Linked DNA regions of Tribolium castaneum. The protein of the gene in region 1 binds, or shares a complex with, the protein of each later gene. Links are inferred from orthologs where the notes say so. Each region holds a gene or a part of one and is shown in the gene's direction. Other genes may lie near its edges. The genes, in order: ncm; eukaryotic initiation factor 4A-III; RNA-binding motif protein, X-linked 2; spliceosome-associated protein CWC27 homolog.

Region 1 (5,207 bases):
CGGAGAAAACAAACTCAATGTTTTTTAATTAGAATAAAAATGACAATCAGAATCACATTAAAATTCCTCGACCATTGTTGAAGATCACACCTGATTCAGTGGCGCTAATTCATAAACTCAGGTAAAATAGTTTCGGAAGCAGCCACCGAAAGGTCTTTGATGCCTCTGGAAGGCTTCGCCCATAAAGACGATATTTTTAGCTTTTAGTGCGACACATGCTAATGCTTGGAGGTGCATAATATTTTTATGGTAATGTTTCTTTTAAATGTTAAACAAATGACATCACGTTTACATAATTCCACGACCCAAAAAAATACAATACAATTTTTCGACGAAAACTAATTAGTAATTATTGCAGAAACATGTTAAAATGAGTAACGATAAGTGGTTTTTTAATGACTTATTTGGGTCGATAAGTTGACCACTAAAAGGTTTACTCATTATTGCGATTAGAGCAACGAGACGACTTTTGGAGGCCTTATTTTCGGTCTTGTTGCGCATTTTACGATAACCCTTTTGTGACCTTTTTATCGGAACTGCACCCAAAACTATAATTAAAATTCTTTCCCCTAACTACTCAAGCGAGTGGTCAATTAATTTCTAAAAAAAGAGCGATTTGTGCGAAATAATTATTTACCATGACTGCAAGTTCCACTTGTAATTATTCCAAGCAAGATGATTAACAAAAGTCGCAACCTTGGGCCCAGCACCTTTAGCACCTACACCAACCCGGCACGCTTTTTTACTTAGAAAAAGTACCAAAAATTGGGCAAAATTTTGGAAAAATGGGAGAGGAGAACGCGCACGGTATCGGCACCGAAAGGTTGAGAACCAACTGAATTGCTATAGCATGGGTACTCTCCATAAAGCAGCCTCGGGCTCTTTTGTACGGATTGGTTTCGTTGGTCGATCTTTGAAACAGCTGGAGCTGGGTTTAAGTTCACTTGGCAGTGACCTTGATGCCTCGAAAACGCTGCATTCGCACTGTTTATTGTTCAAACTGTTTAATAAAATATGGTACACGCAAACATTTCACATATTCATGGGAGGCCTCCGCGAAATTCCGCAAAATTAAAATGCGTGACCTTATCGTTCTCCGCGCCGATTTTTTAAAATCCACAAACTGAATAAAATACCTTGTAACACTTTCAGTATGCCGTAAAAACGCTCTTTTCACCGCGGAAGTATTGTTGAGAAATCTTTGATCGAACTTGTTATTGTGCCATAAAAATTTAATTGTACGCTAGAGCTGTTATTAGCCACTATTATCGGTTTTTGCTTGTTTTTGCACCAACAGCCATTTCTCTTCAAGAAAAAGCGAAAGTCTGTGTCAAGTTATTCATTTTATGGGAACACATTAAAAGTCGCTGTCGAAGTAAATATTCTGAAAATATCGCGACCTGAGAACCATAAGGTTCTGACTATTTCACAATTTTACAATATCATATCTTGTCTTCTCAATTGCCTGAAATGTTATCATAAAATATAACACGTATTATATGTTAATCTACAAACAAACAATACACAATACAAGAAAAAAATAGCAAACTTTTCAGACATGCTCTACTTAAAATTTTATTGTTTTGAACTTTTAAATCAATATTTAAGGTTCCAAAGTAACAAATTTTGCCAAAATTACTTCCATGTAGGTACTTTTTGTTTTCTATCAATAGCTAAACGTTACATCATCTAGTTTTCTTTTATTTAACATTTAAAGATCATTAAAATCCCAAAATTCCCAGGTCGTGATATATTTTTTAGGCAAACGTGACCCCCAAAATCACATTCAAATTTTTTTGAAATTTTAGATTTGTCACTAATTTAGTAAGTCTGTAAATTTTCAAATATGTCTGGAATTAATAAAACCACCAATTCCTGGCCCTCTAGTTATGTTATAATTGCGTAAACACGTACATATAATTAATTATAATTTATTCTAAATGCACAAAAAAATCTGGCGACTTTAAAATTCAAAAATAGTAGGGAATTTGTCATTATCACCAGTGCCACATAACCTCAACCTCTTGCGTTGTTGTGTGTTGTCAATAATCGCCCCAATTTCTTACTGTGTTTTTGTGAGTGCTTAAAAAATGACCACCGACACCGAAACCTCCCCACAGCCCAAACCCAAGCGTAAAAGCCGCTCCAAATCCCCTGAATCCCGTAAAAAACGTCGTGACGACTCGCCCCATAAAGACTCCCGGAAGCGTTCCCGCCGTTCGCGTTCACGAGACCGTCGCAAAAGTCGCAAATACCACGACTTGGACCGCCCCCTTGAAGAATACCCTCGGTATTACGGCGAGGATCAAGAACACAAGAAAAACAGCGATAGATATTGGACCAAATACCCCCGCAAGGATGACCATCAGGTGGGTAGTAGGTATTACGGGGGCGAGCCCGACGATAAAGACAAAGAGTCTGAGAAGGAGACGGATAAGTCGGTGATAGCCCCCCGTGAGCGCAAAACCGTGGATTTACTGACACGGACAGGTGGGGCTTACATCCCTCCAGCGAAGCTGCGGATGATGCAAGCGGAGATTACTGATAAGAGCTCGGCGGCGTATCAAAGAATTGCGTGGGAGGCGTTAAAAAAATCCATTCATGGGTTTATTAACAAGGTGAATACGTCCAACATTGGGATTATTTCGCGGGAATTGCTCCATGAGAATGTGGTAAGGGGGCGCGGACTGCTCTGCAAGTCCATAATACAAGCGCAAGCTGCGTCCCCAACTTTCACAAACGTGTACGCAGCCCTGGTCGCTGTCATCAATTCGAAATTCCCTAATATTGGAGAATTGTTACTGAAACGTTTGGTTTTGCAATTCAAGCGCGGTTTCAAGCAGAATAATAAAATTATCTGCATTTCGGCCACGACTTTTGTGGCTCATTTGGTTAATCAGAGGGTTGCGCATGAAATTCTCGCCTTGGAGATTTTGACTCTTTTGGTGGAGACGCCAACTGATGATTCGGTTGAAGTTGCGATTTCGTTTCTGAAGGAATGTGGACAGAAATTGACTGAGGTTTCGAGTAAAGGCATTAATGCCATCTTTGAAATGTTGAGGAATATTTTACATGAGGGGAAGTTGGAACCGAGGATTCAGTACATGATTGAAGTTATGTTCCAAATCAGGAAGGACGGGTTTAAGGATCATGCCGCTGTTATTGAAGAGTTGGATTTGGTGGATGAGGAGCACCAGTTTACACATTTGATTACGCTGGATGATGTTAAGCAATCAAATGCTGAGGATATTTTAAGTAAGGAAACTTTTTAATTAGGTGGAACTGTACTTAATTTTTTATACAAAAAAATCGGGGTATCCAGGTTTTGAGATTTTTTATTATTATTTTTTTATTTCTCAGAAAAAATTATTTTGAAATTTTAATTAATTAATTCCTTAATTTGCCTCGTTCACTCTGTGATTATCCTGTCTAGATGTGTTTAAATTCGACGACAACTACGAGGAAAACGAGGGGAAGTACAAGACTTTGAGCAAGGAAATCCTGGACATGGACAGCGAGTCGGGCTCCGGCTCGGAGGAAGAGTCCGGTGACGAGGAAGACGACGAAGACGAGGACGAAGAGGAAGAAGAAGGCGCCCAAAAGAACGAATCCAACATAATCGACAATACGGAGACCAACCTCGTGGCCCTACGCAGAACAATCTACTTAACCATCCAATCAAGTTTAGATTTTGAGGAAAGTGCCCACAAACTAATGAAAATGGAACTGAAACCGGGCCAAGAAATCGAATTATGCCACATGTTCCTCGACTGTTGTGCCGAACAACGGACTTACGAGAAGTTTTACGGATTATTGGCACAGAGATTTTGTCAAGTGAATCAGATTTATGTCGAGCCATTCCAACAAATCTTCAAAGACACGTACGCCACAACACACAGACTTGACACAAATAAATTGCGAAATGTTAGCAAGTTTTTCGCACATTTGTTGTTCACCGATGCGATTGGATGGGAGGTTTTAGAAATTATGAAACTGAACGAAGAGGATACCAATAGTTCCAATCGGATTTTCATCAAGATTTTGTTCCAGGAATTGGCCGAATATATGGGCTTGGAGAAGTTAAATGCCAGGCTTAAAGATGCGTAAGTGACTGTGTTTGATAATTAACGAGGTTTTGTTAATTTTTTGGATTTTTTTCAGAACGCTTCAGCCACATTTTGAGGGGCTGTTTCCGCGCGATGATCCCAAAAATACAAGATTTGCGATTAATTTTTTCACGTCGATTGGCTTAGGGGGGCTTACGGCCGAGTTGAGGGAACATTTGAAAACAGCCCCTAAAGTCAATCCCTTGACGATTACTGAAAAATCAAGTGATTCTAGCAGCAGTAGCACTAGCAGTTCAAGCTCATCCAGTTCCGATAGTAGTGATTCGGATTCGTCAAGTTCCGAAGATGAGAAACCACGTAAGAAGAAGGAAGAAAAGAAGAGGAAAAAACCGACAAAAGAAGCATCAGACGATGATAAAAAACGAAAAACAGATGCGAGGAAACACAGACATAATGAGAGACGGTCACGCGATCGAGACGATCGGAGGCGGCGTAGGAGCCCCGAGAGGAAGCATAAGAGTAGGAGATAAGTTACTTTGTACATAAATTGTATTGAATAAATATTTTTATTTGTGACTTGTGTTTGATTCCTTAAAGTTACCAGATTTGAATTTGGCGCTTAGTCAAACCCACACTTTTGGCATTTTTTTTGACGAAATGTGGGTGTTAATTAAATTGCGTGTTTGTGCTTTTGCTAAAATGAGACAAATTTGGGTGAAAATTTTAATTTTGGGTTAGTTTTAACTGAAAATTTGGGTGAACAAGGCTTGGTGGTTTTTGTTGGCGAGGTTGGCAAGCAGTTTCGTCGGGTCCGAGCTGTCATTTTGTGTGTCACTAATTTTTGTTCATTGTGTAGTAAATTGGTGCTATCGTGTTAAAAACAATAAATCCGATCAAAGGTATTTTTATGAGGAAGAAAAACAGTAATCGTATTAGTGCAACGTGAGCTATTTAACCAAAGTAAGTAGCTAGAGCCAAGTCGGTAGGTTAGATGAGTGGAGACGATGTTTTTTTTATTATGTCAAATGCGTCATTCGCATTAAAGTAAATCTCAATGTTTCGTGTCGGATTGTAACGGGGTCCTGGACCTGTTGATTGAGGCGTTCGCGGGGCCCCTGAAAAGTCAGCTGATTTCGGACA
Region 2 (4,399 bases), on another chromosome or scaffold:
AACAAAACTGTGTATTTGAAGAAAGTTTTAAATAAACAGAATAAGTTAACAACAACATTTTTTAATGTTTTTAGTCAACAAATATGGAAAACAAATTTCTAATAATTTTAAGAATTTACAGGTTACTGTAATCTACTACTTAAGAAAACAGCGCATAGATAACACGATTTTTTTTGTAGACTATTGTAAACATGTACTTTGACATACCATACTTAGATGTCGCCGCTTACGTTTTTTTTGTTTTTAATTTTTTTATGTAATCTAAAAAATTTAATAAAGATATATTAAAAATTTTATAAAATTTGTGATTTACAAAATGCGTAATATCTTCGTTCCTGTAGAAGATAGAGGGGTGGTTCTGCCCTTTTAAAGCCCCTACCGCCCCGTAGTATTTTTCCTGCGCTATCAAATGGAATAGGTCTCGTTCCTGTATCTCTATCAGAAACCGCAATAGCATTGCACATTTTTAAATCGGTAATCGGAGTACATCACGTAATAGTGCCTCAAAAGTTACGTGTGAATGCAGAATTTCAAGTTGCTACGATAACAGGAAGTGTTTCAAAATTAACTCGTAACATATGATTCCAAATAAATCACATTATTTAAAAGCTTTTAACAAAAAATCTAGTTTTTTATTAGCAGTTTTTATTGAACTTTCTTCCGGATTTATAAATATTTTGAACTTAAATTTGGGAGACTTCCTGTTGTCGTAACAACTTGAAATTTTGCATGTCCACGTAACTTTTGGAGCCCTATTACGTCATGTACTTCGATTCTCGATTAAAAAATGTGCAATGCTATTTCGGTTCCTGATGGAGATACGGGAACAGGACCTAGCCTATTCGATAGCCCAGGAAAAATACTACGGGGCGGTAGGGTTTTCAAAAGGGCAAAACCACCCCTCTATCTCCTACAGGAACGAAGATATTTCGCATTTTGTGAAATACAAGATTTCCTTAAATTTCTATAAAAATTTTGAAATGTGAAAGAAAATTTTAGGTTGTTTACAAAATTTTTATAAAAATTGAAGAAAATCTTGTAATTCACAAAATCTTAAATATCTCCGTTCCTGTAGGAGATAGAGGGGTGGTTCTGCCCTTTTGAAAACCCTACCGCCCCGTAGTATTTTTCCTGGGCTATCGAATGGAATAGGTCCCGTTCCCGTATCTCCATCAGGAACCGAGATAGCATTGCACATCTTTAAATCAACAACCGAAGTACATTACGTAATAGTGCTCCAAAAGTTATGTGTGCATGCAAAATTTCAAGTTGCTACGATAACAGGAAGTGTCTTAAATTTAAGTTCAAAATATTTATAACTCCGAAAGACAAACAAAGCAAGTTGAATAAAAATTCTAATAAAAAACTACAGCTTGTTTGTTCACAGACTTTATTTAATGCGATTTATTTTGAATCATATTTTACGAGTTAATTTTGAGGCACTTCCTGTTGTCGTAGCAACTTCAAATTTTGCATGCACACGTAACTTTTGGAGCACTATTACGTCATGTACTTCGATTCCCGATTAAAAAATGTGCAATGCTATTTCGGTTCCTGATGGAGATACGGGAACGGGACCTAGCCTATTCGATAGCCCAGGAAAAATACTACGGGGCGGTTGGGTTTTCAAAAGGGCAAAACCACCCCTCTATCTTGTACGAGAACGAAGATATTTCGCATTTTGTAAATTACAAATTCTATAAAATTTTTACTAGATCTTTATTACATTTTTTAGATTACACAAAAAAATTAAAACCAAAAAACGTAAGCGGCGACATCTGAGTATGGTAGGTCAAAGTACATGTTTACAGTAATCTAGAAAAAAATTGTGTGCCATCTATGGGTTGCTACAGTAACCTATAAATTGTATTTTTTTAACAGTATGCACAGGCAACCAATTATACAAGACAATCTTGTATATTGCCTACTATTAAGTGGACGCCATATTTTTGTCAAATGTCAAAAAACGCTAAAAGACGTAGCGACTCGCGTGCAAACAACATTAAACGGGCGAAAAAGTGTTTAAAAGTTAGTAAAGGTGAAAAATAAGTGTTTTATTTCTCTCAATACTACAAACAAACCAGTTGGGGACGTGCAAGTGGCCCCAAAAATGCAAACACCTTTGTGAAAGACAGGTGCCCCAAGTGTTGTGCTTCAGTGAACTGGACATTCAATTAAATCATCTAAACTTTACTTTAACACACGTTCTAATTTCTGACGGAGGCAATGGCTGTCGCAAAACCTTCAAACCGCAATGCGGCTTTCGAAGACTTGTCGAACGTTGAGTTCGAAACCAGCGAAGATGTGGAAGTCATCGAGCAATTTAAGAATATGCACCTGAAGGAGGAGCTCCTTCGCGGTGTCTTTGCATATGGTAATAGGAAAATGTGGGTCAGTGCGGCTCGGATTGAGGTCATTGCTTTCAGGTTTTGAGAAACCATCAGCTATCCAACAGAGGGCTATCAAGCCGATAATAAAGGGCCGAGATGTTATCGCTCAAGCCCAGTCAGGTACCGGCAAAACGGCCACATTCTCGATCGCTATTTTGCAGTCGCTTGACTTGCAAACGCGGGAAACCCAAGTACTTTGCTTGTCGCCAACGAGGGAGTTGGCCGTGCAAATCCAGAAAGTTATCCTGGCTTTGGGGGACTTTATGAACGTGCAGTGTCACGCCTGCATTGGTGGGACCAATCTGGGAGAGGATATCAGGAAGCTGGATTATGGGCAACATGTTGTTAGTGGAACACCTGGAAGAGTTTACGGTACTTATAATTATCTTATAAATAATTTCCCCTACCAAAAAACTTAATTTTCAGACATGATCAGACGGCGCGCCCTTAGGACCAGGTCCGTCAAAATGCTGGTTTTGGACGAAGCCGACGAAATGTTAAACAAAGGCTTCAAGGAGCAAATCTACGACGTTTACAGGTTCCTGCCGCCCTCCACTCAAGTCGTGTTGATTTCTGCGACTTTGCCCCACGAGATTTTGGAGATCACGTCGAAGTTCATGACGGACCCGATCCGTATTTTGGTAAAACGTGATGAATTAACTCTTGAAGGCATCAAGCAATTTTTCGTCGCGGTTGAGCGTGAGGAGTGGAAATTTGACACACTTTGTGACTTGTACGATACTTTAACCATCACGCAAGCTGTTATCTTTTGCAACACTAAACGCAAAGTCGATTGGTTGACTGAAAAAATGCGCGAAAACAATTTCACCGTGAGTTCCATGCACGGTGATATGCCCCAGAAGGAGAGAGATAATATTATGAAGGAGTTCAGGTCGGGACAGAGTCGTGTACTTATCACGACCGATGTGTGGGCGAGAGGTATCGACGTCCAGCAAGTCAGTTTGGTCATTAATTACGATTTGCCGAACAACCGTGAGTTGTACATTCACCGTATTGGGCGATCTGGCAGGTTTGGTAGAAAGGGTGTTGCGATTAATTTCGTCAAGTCGGACGATATCAGGATTTTGCGGGATATTGAGCAGTATTATTCCACACAGATTGACGAAATGCCGATGAATGTCGCTGATTTAATTTAAACGAATAACATTTTTTATGTCCTTATATTATGTAAGAAGTTTGTGTAATAATTAATTAATTAATATGGGAAGTAATAAACGACTATGATTTTTCCTACTCCTAATATTTCTCTCGCCAAATTAAAATCAGAATGACAAATATTCATACCAGAAAATGCACTAAAACTTGAATTCTTTGTATTTTTTCGTTTGTTTTGTGTCCTGTTGTTGGCGCTTGCGTTTATTCTAAAACGAAACAATTAGGTAAATCAACAAATTACACAATATGTTACCTTTTGTTTGGCGACGTGCTCAGCTAACATATCACTGAGATCTTCCTTCTGCAGCTGTGACTGGTTTTCCCTCATTTGTTGTTCGTAACGAACCGCCATTGCATCGCTATCCATATCCAACTCAGACGGATCAAGAGCCAACTCAACCATTCCTTCCTTGTCCCCTGGTTTGCGACTAGTTGCAGGGGCTGCGCCCACAGCAGACATGTCGTAAACGTGGCTGCTCCCCATCATGGAACCACCTATTCTCTCATTGCGTTTTTCGGGAATGACATGATACAAAATCGGGTTTTCACCCCTACAAAACAATTTAAAATACCCCCCTAGAGACAAAATAATTCTTACTGTTCCATTTCGCTCTCGATTTTCTTTTTCCTCAATTCTATAGCTTCGGGTGTTTCCATGCCAGTTGGCACGCTTGTGAGACCACTAGGTGTCACCAAGCCCTCAGCTGGAGTAACAAGACCGGATTCGTCAGCGGCGTTTTGTTGGTTGTCTTGGTCTTCCTCCTCTTCCTCATCCTCCTCCTCTGATTCGGACTCGAGCTCGCCCCAGAGGGTGCGATCCACGGAAGGGTCCT
Region 3 (3,854 bases), on another chromosome or scaffold:
TTTTTTTATTCAATGAGCGGCAAAATTATGGAATAGTCTTATTAAAACTGAAAATATTTAAAATCTCATTGTTTTCAAACTGTTTTTGCTACAACAAAATATTTCTAATTAAGATTTTTCCATATTTTTGTTGATCCGGCTCGAAGGACCACACTATGGGTACTGAGTGAATAATCGCAGTGAACTGGTGTCAATTCTGGTTCGAGTACTTCCCTCTCCCTCCAATCAACATACTTGCGATGATTGAAAACGTCCTAATGGTACACGACCCCGAACTTTTGGACTTCCTAACCAGAAAAAAAGTCTCTTCCGAATTGTACGCATGGCCGATTTTGCGAACTGCATTTTCCGAGGTTTTGACAGCGCCATCCTGGAAAATTTTCTGGGACCATGTTTTAACAAACGAACCTTCGTTTCTACTGTGTGGAGTCGTGGCTTACAATATTTTACAACGAACCTCCATTTTGAGTCTTAAAGACGATAAACAATTTCGGTGTTTTTACAAAACGCATCATCCCATAGATGTTAAAAAATTGCTAACGAAAAGTTACCACATTTTGGCCAAGACGGGCGAGGCCGTGCACCCACGGCAATATTTGAACATGTTCAAGAAAATTAATTTGGGGGAATACCCCAATTTTTGTGATTACCCCAAAACCATGATCGAGATGTCGGATAAAGAGGCCGAGATGAAGAGAGAGATGGCGGGGTTGAAAACAGACGAGGTTGATTTGTTCAGACGCCGATTGATTAGTTTGGAGCGGTTGCAAAATTTCGAAGTGGAGGAAGAAGAGAATAAGCGAATTTTGGGTAAGTTTTTGTACATTTTTTGGGGTTTTAATTAAATAAATTGTCAGAAATGGAACGCGCGATTCGTAATCAATTGTTGGAGGAGCAAACCCGTGTCCAGGAGTACTACGAAAGGGTGGCCAACCTGCGCGAAAAATTCCACCAAGAAGACAAAATTTTGGCCTCCTTAAGACACCAAATAGCGAAGGAACAGCAATTGAAAAGCCGCCGAAAATACCTATCGTCGATTATGGACGATGTCAGGTTCCGAAAAGGCGAGAAAGGTTACGCCTTGACCAAGACCGAGGACGAACTCCTCTTCCACTATGCCGAACTTTTGAAAAACAAGTACAAAATCGAAAAGTTACTAAACACTGATGAAGTTGTCACAAGTACAAAACTATCAGTTGATCAACAACAGGAACAATTATCGAACGAAATCAATTTTGTGCGGAGTAGTGAAGAGCCCCGCAAACATTTGAAGATGTTAAATCTGACAACGGGGCTTGAAGCCATGGATGCTCTAATCGAAAAAGTCGAAAGTGAGCTGGAAAAACAAAAGAGCGGGAGTGACAGTGATGCCGATCGACGCGTTGTCGCCCTGCAAGCGGAAAGCAAAGAGTTGGCGTTGAAAATTGCCAATTTAATCGAGCTACTTGCCAATTTAAGGAGTGAGGAAGTGGGCGGATAGCACAATCAATTTTATTATAAGTTGTATCGTTTCTATTTATACGTTTTATGATCTCATATGCACCTGTGATATGTTTTTAAACGGCAATAAATTTACAAACCGATGTGAAGTCGCCTTAATAGTTCCAGCCGCGGTGTGAATGCACCTTAACGCAATTAACACAAACGTCAAACGTACGTCAAATACCTAACCTATTTTTTGAACATTTGTTTTATTTGTATTTGTTCATGTTTTTCGGGGTCAGAGGCCCCACAATCACGCACCATGAATCCGTTAACGTAAGTATTGTCGATTTTTTGCCCCAATTTTGCGAAGTTGTCTTTCCAGGAACATGAAAAATGTGAAGAAACTGAGCGAACAGGAGCTCTACACCGGTAATAAAACCTCCTGGCATGACCAATACAGGGACAGTGCGTGGGTTTTCATCGGCGGTTTGCCCTTCGACCTGACCGAGGGCGACATAATTTGCATTTTCTCGCAGTATGGCGAAGTGGTGAACATAAACCTGATCAGGGATAAGGACTCGGGCAAGTCAAAGGGCTTCTGTTTCCTGTGCTACGAGGACCAAAGATCGACCGACTTGGCCGTTGATAATTTCAACGGAATCAAAATCTTGAACAGGACGATACGAGTCGACCACGTCAGTAACTACAAGGTGCCCAAACAGGGCAAGAAAACGGACGCTGAGACGAAGAAACTGTACGATGAGGGCTGTGCCCCCAAGGCCGTCCCTGTGCAAGTTCCTGTCAAAGCGCCAGTGAAGATTAAAACAGACCCTGACGATTTTCGCGAAACACTGGCCGACCAGATTAATTCTGAGATCAAGTTGCCTGAGCGCTTGCCCATTTACACGATAAAAAAGGAGAAAGTGGACGAGGAGGCGCCGCCGGAGCCTGTTGTCACGAAAGAGAAGAAGGAAAAGAAACACAAGAAGGAGAAAAAGAAGAAGAAGAAAAAGAAGTCGGACGAAAACAGCAGCGAATCCGATTCAGATAGGAAGAAGAAAAAGAAGAAGAAGGGCGAGTCAGGGTCGGATTACTCCGCTGAAGACAGCGTGTCAGAGGACGAGGATAGGAGGAAGCGGTCGCGGAGTCCGAATAAGAAAAAGCGCTGATTTACTAACATCTATTTACAGCTCTGTGCTTCATATCTTCATTATCAGTAAGCTCGTCTTCACCTTGCGTCACATTGACATATTTTTTCAAAATGTGGGAGACACTCCCTAGACCATTATTCTCCAAATAATATAGCGAGAAGTGTGAAACTCCCGTGTTAATTATTCGAGCCCCTCCGAGACACTCGCCATCTTTCGACAAGACAGCGAACTGTCCCGGAGTGATGGCCCTCTTGTACCTATTCACTTTAATAATCAGTCCTTTACTTGTTTGGCACACCTGGCATTTGACCCAATATTTGGTGTGTTGGAACTTGAAATCGCACTCCAAAACCCCGTTTTGTAAATCAGGGGGCTGTGAGTGGATCCAGTGGGGCTCACTGGTCAAAATTATGTTCGTGTAAAGTAACGGGTGTTTTGTCCCTTTGACTACGTAAATTATGTTCTTGTCTACGTCTTTCCGGGCCACGAAATAAGGGCTTTCGTAGCTGTGGAGGCGCGCCCTTTGCCCCAAAGTCCACTGGTGCACCCCATTGTGTTGACCCACGACTTTCGCAGTGTCAACGTCCACGAAATCGCCCGGTTTATCATCAATATACTGAAAAAAATGTTTAGTCAAGTGACCAGTGCAAAGCTTCTTTGACCAATGACAGGCCTCCCTTCACCTAGAGGGAGCCACGTTAGTGCTTGACTACAATATTTTTTTTAATTAAAAAAAATTTATAAAACTTCGAAAACAACAAAAATTAAAGTAAGAAATAATTGGCCAATCACGGAAGCTGTGAACTAATCACTTACTTCTCTAATAAAGTCTTGAAATTTGCGATTGCCGATAAAACAGATCCCCATACTCTCCTTCTTCCTTGCGATTTTTTCAAGTCCGTTTTCCCTTGCAATTTTTTTCACTTCCGGCTTCATTAAATCGCCCAATGGGAACATTGTACGTTGCAAAGCTTCTTGATTGACTTGGCACAAGAAGAACGTTTGGTCTTTGAACCAATCAACTGCGTTTAGTAGTCTTACCCCTGTTTTTTTGTTGTAATAAATTGTTTTTTTTTTTGACTGGATACAGACCCTTTTCCGGGTTATAATGTTCAAGATAAGACCCGAAACTAGTCCTTGCGTAATGTCCGGTCGCGATAGCGTCAGCCCCTAGCTCATTTCTCGCGTATTTGTAAAAATAATTAAATTTAATGTTACGATTGCATAGAACGTCAGGGTTTGGCGTGTTGCCGGTCTCATATTCTTTGATTAAATTGC
Region 4 (4,507 bases), on another chromosome or scaffold:
TAACTAAATATGATACAGTTGATAAACAAAGAGTCTTCGAAGAGCTCCATTTAGTTATCTAATATCTCTAATTATCTTGATTTAAGTCACTATAAATATCAAGCAACATAATTTTATGTAACTTATTAATTAGTTGGAAAAGTTTGAAACTTTGATCAAATTATTAGAAAAATATTTCTTATTTTTATGCAGAGGTTCATGTCAGGTCTACTCATCCAGAACTCTGTTATCAGTGTTTAATATTTGTTTTGTAATTTATAATTACAGTGATAATTCGATACGTATTTTTGCAGAGGTACAAAGACGTGGCCAATCAATCAATATTTGACAAAGATCCTGCGTAAATCAAGTCTTAATAATAATTCTAATCGATTTAAAAATTGGTGGGATTGAGGACGAGATTATTTTTCCATTATTAGTTATTTTTGACACCAAATACGTGGGTATTTGAAGCCGGATCTAGTTTTTGAAATTGTAAAAATAATAGTACCTACCACAGTAGTATTTTAGTTTTTTATTTTGGTTATTTGGTTAATAAATTCAAACTGACCCTGAAATTCTATTAACATCTTGCCACATGCCACCAGAATTATTAAAAAATAAATATTACGTTGTCGTAAATAAAACAAAAAGCCGTAAATACAAACAATTAAACACCGTAAAATATGTACAATAAAAAAATAAATTTCATTTCAAACATGCTACAAAACGATTTTAATTCTCTCCAAGAAATACTTTATATTGAACAAAATAGTGTTTGATGAGAATGAGTTTAATTATATGCATGTTAATTGGGCGATAAGACTGATAACTCGTCCGAAGACAATGCTATGAGAAAAGAGTTTAATTTTAAAACGCACAATAAAATAATTCTCTTGAAATAATGCCAACCTGTCAAGCCAAAGTCCGGAGAATAATTCCGCCGAAAAAATTCGCGCATTACCTTGTAAAACCGTAAAAATTTTCATTTGTATCGCACTTGTGCCACATACTTCCATTGCAAACACACTCACAAAAACGCTCTTTACAGTCCAAGTTCATTGCATGTTCTGACCCAATTATAACAATAACAAATTTTCGAAATTGTTTATATTATGTTAATTAAATTGATAACAATTTGAGCCGATTCTCTAAACATTTGGGCAAATAAATCAGCTATATTTACCTTCAACTAAAGTTCCAGACTCCAACATATCTCTCCGCGACCAAACAACAATAACATAATATTCACACGTTTAGGAAGTCCTCGCAGACAGGTGTATACTCATATTTATAATACCAACACTTATCTGTGAGAATTTTCTGTAAACTTTTATCATTGGATTTCTTTATCTTGCGTGAAACGCGCGCTGTGGCTCAATGGTGATTCTCCCCGCTTTTAGTCGAGAACTAATTCTAATTTTAGTTGGACACAAGTACTTGAATTTCGAGTTCACTTTTAAGCTAACACAGTTTGACAATATATTTAATTCAACAAGCGTTTAGTTCTAATCTGGAGAACGTTTGATTTAGATAAGTCTGCGATAGACAGACAATATTGATATCATAAGTATAACACAAAATAAACAACAATTAGTTACTGCCTAATCTGTTTTAGTTTTCACTTTCCGATTATTTTTCACTGTCACCATGTGGAAAACTAACGATAAAGGGGAAAGTTCAAGTCCAATTCCAGAAAATTTAAATTTGACCTCATTGTTTTTTTAATTCTTTATTGTCGCGCAATTCTTACTATTATACGTATTTATTCAAATCTTAAAATAAAAAGATAATAATAGCATCTGGCGCTCCTTCGTTTATTTCCTTATTTATCCTATTGAAAAAAAAATTGTTATGAAACAATTAAAACAGTGAAGTATTTGAAAAAAACTGAACTCAATTCATACACAAAACCATGACTTTGAATTTGTATTTTTTTTAAGAACAAAATTTGAAAAACCAAATTTTAAATTGTGACTAAGGTGGCGAAGCTTGGCACTTTAAACACAACCAAACTTCGTAGCTTAACCTCATTCTTTGACACTTGTCAAAATATAATAAACATTCTAAAGTTTTAAAAATGAGTAGTGTTTATATTTTGGAGCCCCCAACTTCGGGAAAGGTATTTAATCGTTCGTCTTACGAACACTACAATCAAATTTTTCGTCTCAGGTGTTGTTGAAAACAACAGTTGGTGACATAGACGTCGAATTGTGGGCAAAAGAAACGCCAAAAACCTGCCGCAACTTCATACAATTGTGCCTTGAGGGCTATTACGACAACACTATCTTCCACAGGGTTGTTAAGGGCTTTATAGCCCAAGGGGGTGACCCAAATGGTGACGGTACAGGCGGAGAGTCAATCTATGGAGAGCCCTTCAAAGATGAGTTTCACCAAAGACTCCGCTTTACGCGAAGAGGGTTGCTTGCGATGGCCAACGGGGGCAAGGACGACAACGGGTCTCAGTTTTTCTTCACCCTGGGGGCGACTCCCGAATTGCAAGACAAACACACGATTTTTGGGAAAATTACCGGAGACACGATTTTTAATATGCTCAAGCTTGAGGATGGGTTAATAAGGGACGAAAGGCCGATCTACCCTCACAAAATCATTAAAACGGAAGTTTTGAACAATCCATTTGCCGACATCCAACCCAGGCTTAGACAGGTTGAGGTGAAGGAGAAGAAAAAGAAAGAGAAAAAGCCAGGAGTCAAGTCAGTCAAATATTTTGTGTAATTTGTTGTAAAATCATTGTTGTAGGAATTTTAAGTTATTGTCGTTTGGGGAAGAGGCTGAGGAAGATGAGGAAGAGTCAACGAGGGTCAATGAAAAGTTTGTGGGCAAAGGCAAATCCACACACGATGTGTTAGGTACACAGTTCAAATAATTGGTGTGGAAATGTTTTAATTAAATTTAATTGAAGATGATCCCAAATTGAGCTCTAAAACGGAGGACGTAGATGAGGAGAATGATGACGTGGAAGAAGTTAATCCAGAAGAACAGTTAGAGAGCATCAGAAAGAAACTAAAAAGAGAACACAAAAAACCTGTACCAACTTCCACAACAACGGCGGAACCGATAGATACATATGAGTCATTCCTAGAGGAAGAGAGGCGCGAGAAAAAGAAAAAACAATTGTGAGTGACTATTAATTATTTTTCTATTTTCGATTAATTTATTTACAGTGAGGAGATCCAAAAAGAAATCCAGAACGTTAAAAAGGAATACCATAAAAATAAGTTGAAAAAGAAGGAAGAGGACATAATTGCAACCGAGAAGAAGGTCCAAGAAGACAAGACAATACAAGAGTACAAAGACGAGTTCGATAAATACAAAAATAAAAAAGACGCATTACCTAAAAAGGGAGCTGGGAGAGAACAGTTCACTTTGAATTTGTTGGAAAAGTTCAAAAAGAAGATACAGTCAATGAAAGACGGGGAAGAGAATGAAGAAGACAATGAGGAAGAACAAGCGTGGTTGAAGCACAGACTGTGCTTCCAGGACAAAAACCCAGTCTTGGCAAAAGACGCCAATAGAAAAGATGACGATTGGTTTGAAATTTACGATCCTAGAAACGCTTTGAATAAACGACGACGTGGAGAAACCGTGGAGAAGTTCAAGAAATAGTGTTGTTTGCTATATTAAAAATAAAGATTTGTAATTTTATGCGACCTTTTTTTTCCCGCCTTATCCTGGTGTAGCAAAGGCTCCAAAGAGCAAAAACTTCAAATAAACGTAAAGTTCGAGTTTTTTACCTACATTTTACCATTCTAGCACTCGCTTTAATAACAATCACATTAGTATTATTAATGACTCTACTATAGTTTGTGTTAAATTAATAAATTATTATTAATTAATTAAATTATTATTTTAGTTGTTACATATTATAAGACTCTATGCGCGTAGGATTATATGAGCAGATGCGCGCGTTTTCGGAATTGAGGTTACGTTTTTAATTTTGTGGGACCGGTGTTTGATGTTAAACTAGTATGAAAAATTAATGAAACTTTTGTGTACGTGAATAGACAATAGTGAGAAGCATGAGTGTGTGCACGTAAGTAAAAAACCATCAGTATTAAGAAAAACAGCTGATTATTTTTAGACCAAATCGTAACGTTTTAAACAACTCTTTTGCACTAGAACGGAGCCTTTCCGTGAATAAAACACGGCGAACTGTGCGTAAAAGCTTCATCTGGGGCTCCGTGAACCTCCTTATACTTGCAGTCCTTCTTTATGATATGTAACAAACTGCTCACTTAACCTTCTTTTTCCCATAACTGTGTTTTTAGAGCAAATTCATGTCCTTTGTACACTGATATTTACGACTATATCAAATATGCGTTCGTTCTGATAGTAAGCATAAATCTCTTGTACTATGCTGCAAAAATTATGATCTCAAATTTCAATCATGAGCAAATACCAATCACTTTGGAGCAGAAGAAACTGTTAGGAATCAGTGATTCAGGTTTGGGTGCGGAACTTAGAAAAAGGGGAGTGTTAATTATGTTTTTTAGACCCAAATTTTAAA

Evidence for each region.
Region 2: the proteins of ncm (region 1) and eukaryotic initiation factor 4A-III are in contact, whole or in part, in a crystal structure (PDB 4C9B), measured with the Homo sapiens proteins. The link is inferred for Tribolium castaneum from reciprocal best matches to the Homo sapiens genes CWC22 and EIF4A3. Residues at the interface, in NP_001362958.1 of Homo sapiens: Thr129, Gly130, Gly131, Ala132, Tyr133, Pro135, Pro136, Ala137, Lys138, Arg140, Lys164, Asn167, Gly168, Ile170, Asn171, Lys172, Val173, Asn174, Ser176, Asn177, Ile180, Ile181, Glu184, Ala207, Ser208, Ile210, Phe211, Tyr215, Lys330, Arg331; in NP_055555.1 of Homo sapiens: Met43, Gly44, Ile72, Ile73, Lys74, Gly75, Gln98, Cys99, Met183, Gln213, Val256, Ala257, Glu259, Trp263, Asp266, Thr267, Asp270, Leu271, Tyr272, Asp273, Thr274, Leu275, Thr276, Ile277, Thr278, Gln279, Ala300, Asn301, Phe302, Thr303.
Region 3: ncm (region 1) and RNA-binding motif protein, X-linked 2 share a complex: the UniProt entries of both Homo sapiens proteins name them as parts of the minor spliceosome. The link is inferred for Tribolium castaneum from reciprocal best matches to the Homo sapiens genes CWC22 and RBMX2.
Region 4: the proteins of ncm (region 1) and spliceosome-associated protein CWC27 homolog are in contact, whole or in part, in a crystal structure (PDB 6YVH), measured with the Homo sapiens proteins. The link is inferred for Tribolium castaneum from reciprocal best matches to the Homo sapiens genes CWC22 and CWC27. Residues at the interface, in NP_001362958.1 of Homo sapiens: Leu239, Arg242, Lys243, Tyr245, Arg246, Asn248, Asp249, Lys250, His270, Glu271, Val272, Leu275, Glu276, Thr279, Leu280, Leu281, Glu283, Arg284, Thr286, Asp288, Ser289, Val292, Val307, Ser308, Pro309, Arg310, Gly311, Thr367, Met369, Leu372; in NP_005860.2 of Homo sapiens: Arg381, Glu382, Asp383, Gln384, Thr385, Leu386, Leu388, Leu389, Phe392, Lys393, Lys395, Leu396, Thr397, Ile400, Glu412, Asp415, Asp416, Glu417, Gly418, Trp419, Met420, Ser421, His422, Val423, Leu424, Gln425, Phe426.

Annotation. Positions count from the first base shown.
Region 1 is NC_087398.1:673,491-678,697, reverse strand, and holds ncm (pre-mRNA-splicing factor CWC22 homolog), read left to right. Parts: upstream 1-1,961; 5' UTR 1,962-2,090; coding exon 2,091-3,255; intron 3,256-3,433; coding exon 3,434-4,103; intron 4,104-4,161; coding exon 4,162-4,597; 3' UTR 4,598-4,643; downstream 4,644-5,207. UniProt on the Homo sapiens protein: Required for pre-mRNA splicing as component of the spliceosome. As a component of the minor spliceosome, involved in the splicing of U12-type introns in pre-mRNAs. Promotes exon-junction complex (EJC) assembly.
Region 2 is NC_087396.1:14,193,952-14,198,350, forward strand, and holds eukaryotic initiation factor 4A-III, read left to right. Parts: upstream 1-1,938; 5' UTR 1,939-2,226; coding exon 2,227-2,374; intron 2,375-2,426; coding exon 2,427-2,762; intron 2,763-2,816; coding exon 2,817-3,547; 3' UTR 3,548-3,644; downstream 3,645-4,399. Other genes in the region: Sf3b2 (splicing factor 3B subunit 2), read right to left, coding at 3,707-3,772, 3,820-4,117, 4,165-4,399. UniProt on the Homo sapiens protein: ATP-dependent RNA helicase. Involved in pre-mRNA splicing as component of the spliceosome. Core component of the splicing-dependent multiprotein exon junction complex (EJC) deposited at splice junctions on mRNAs.
Region 3 is NC_087396.1:22,564,436-22,568,289, reverse strand, and holds RNA-binding motif protein, X-linked 2, read left to right. Parts: upstream 1-1,605; 5' UTR 1,606-1,744; coding exon 1,745-1,758; intron 1,759-1,807; coding exon 1,808-2,594; 3' UTR 2,595-2,598; downstream 2,599-3,854. Other genes in the region: TBC1 domain family member 31, read left to right, coding at 181-810, 858-1,480; mitochondrial tRNA-specific 2-thiouridylase 1, read right to left, coding at 2,599-3,192, 3,393-3,619, 3,669-3,853. UniProt on the Homo sapiens protein: Involved in pre-mRNA splicing as component of the activated spliceosome. As a component of the minor spliceosome, involved in the splicing of U12-type introns in pre-mRNAs.
Region 4 is NC_087396.1:19,898,534-19,903,040, reverse strand, and holds spliceosome-associated protein CWC27 homolog, read left to right. Parts: upstream 1-1,955; 5' UTR 1,956-2,059; coding exon 2,060-2,101; intron 2,102-2,151; coding exon 2,152-2,693; intron 2,694-2,739; coding exon 2,740-2,849; intron 2,850-2,902; coding exon 2,903-3,116; intron 3,117-3,164; coding exon 3,165-3,606; 3' UTR 3,607-3,645; downstream 3,646-4,507. Other genes in the region: uncharacterized protein LOC658443, read right to left, coding at 944-998; transmembrane protein 209, read left to right, coding at 4,020-4,033, 4,082-4,219, 4,269-4,444, 4,494-4,507. UniProt on the Homo sapiens protein: As part of the spliceosome, plays a role in pre-mRNA splicing. Probable inactive PPIase with no peptidyl-prolyl cis-trans isomerase activity. As a component of the minor spliceosome, involved in the splicing of U12-type introns in pre-mRNAs.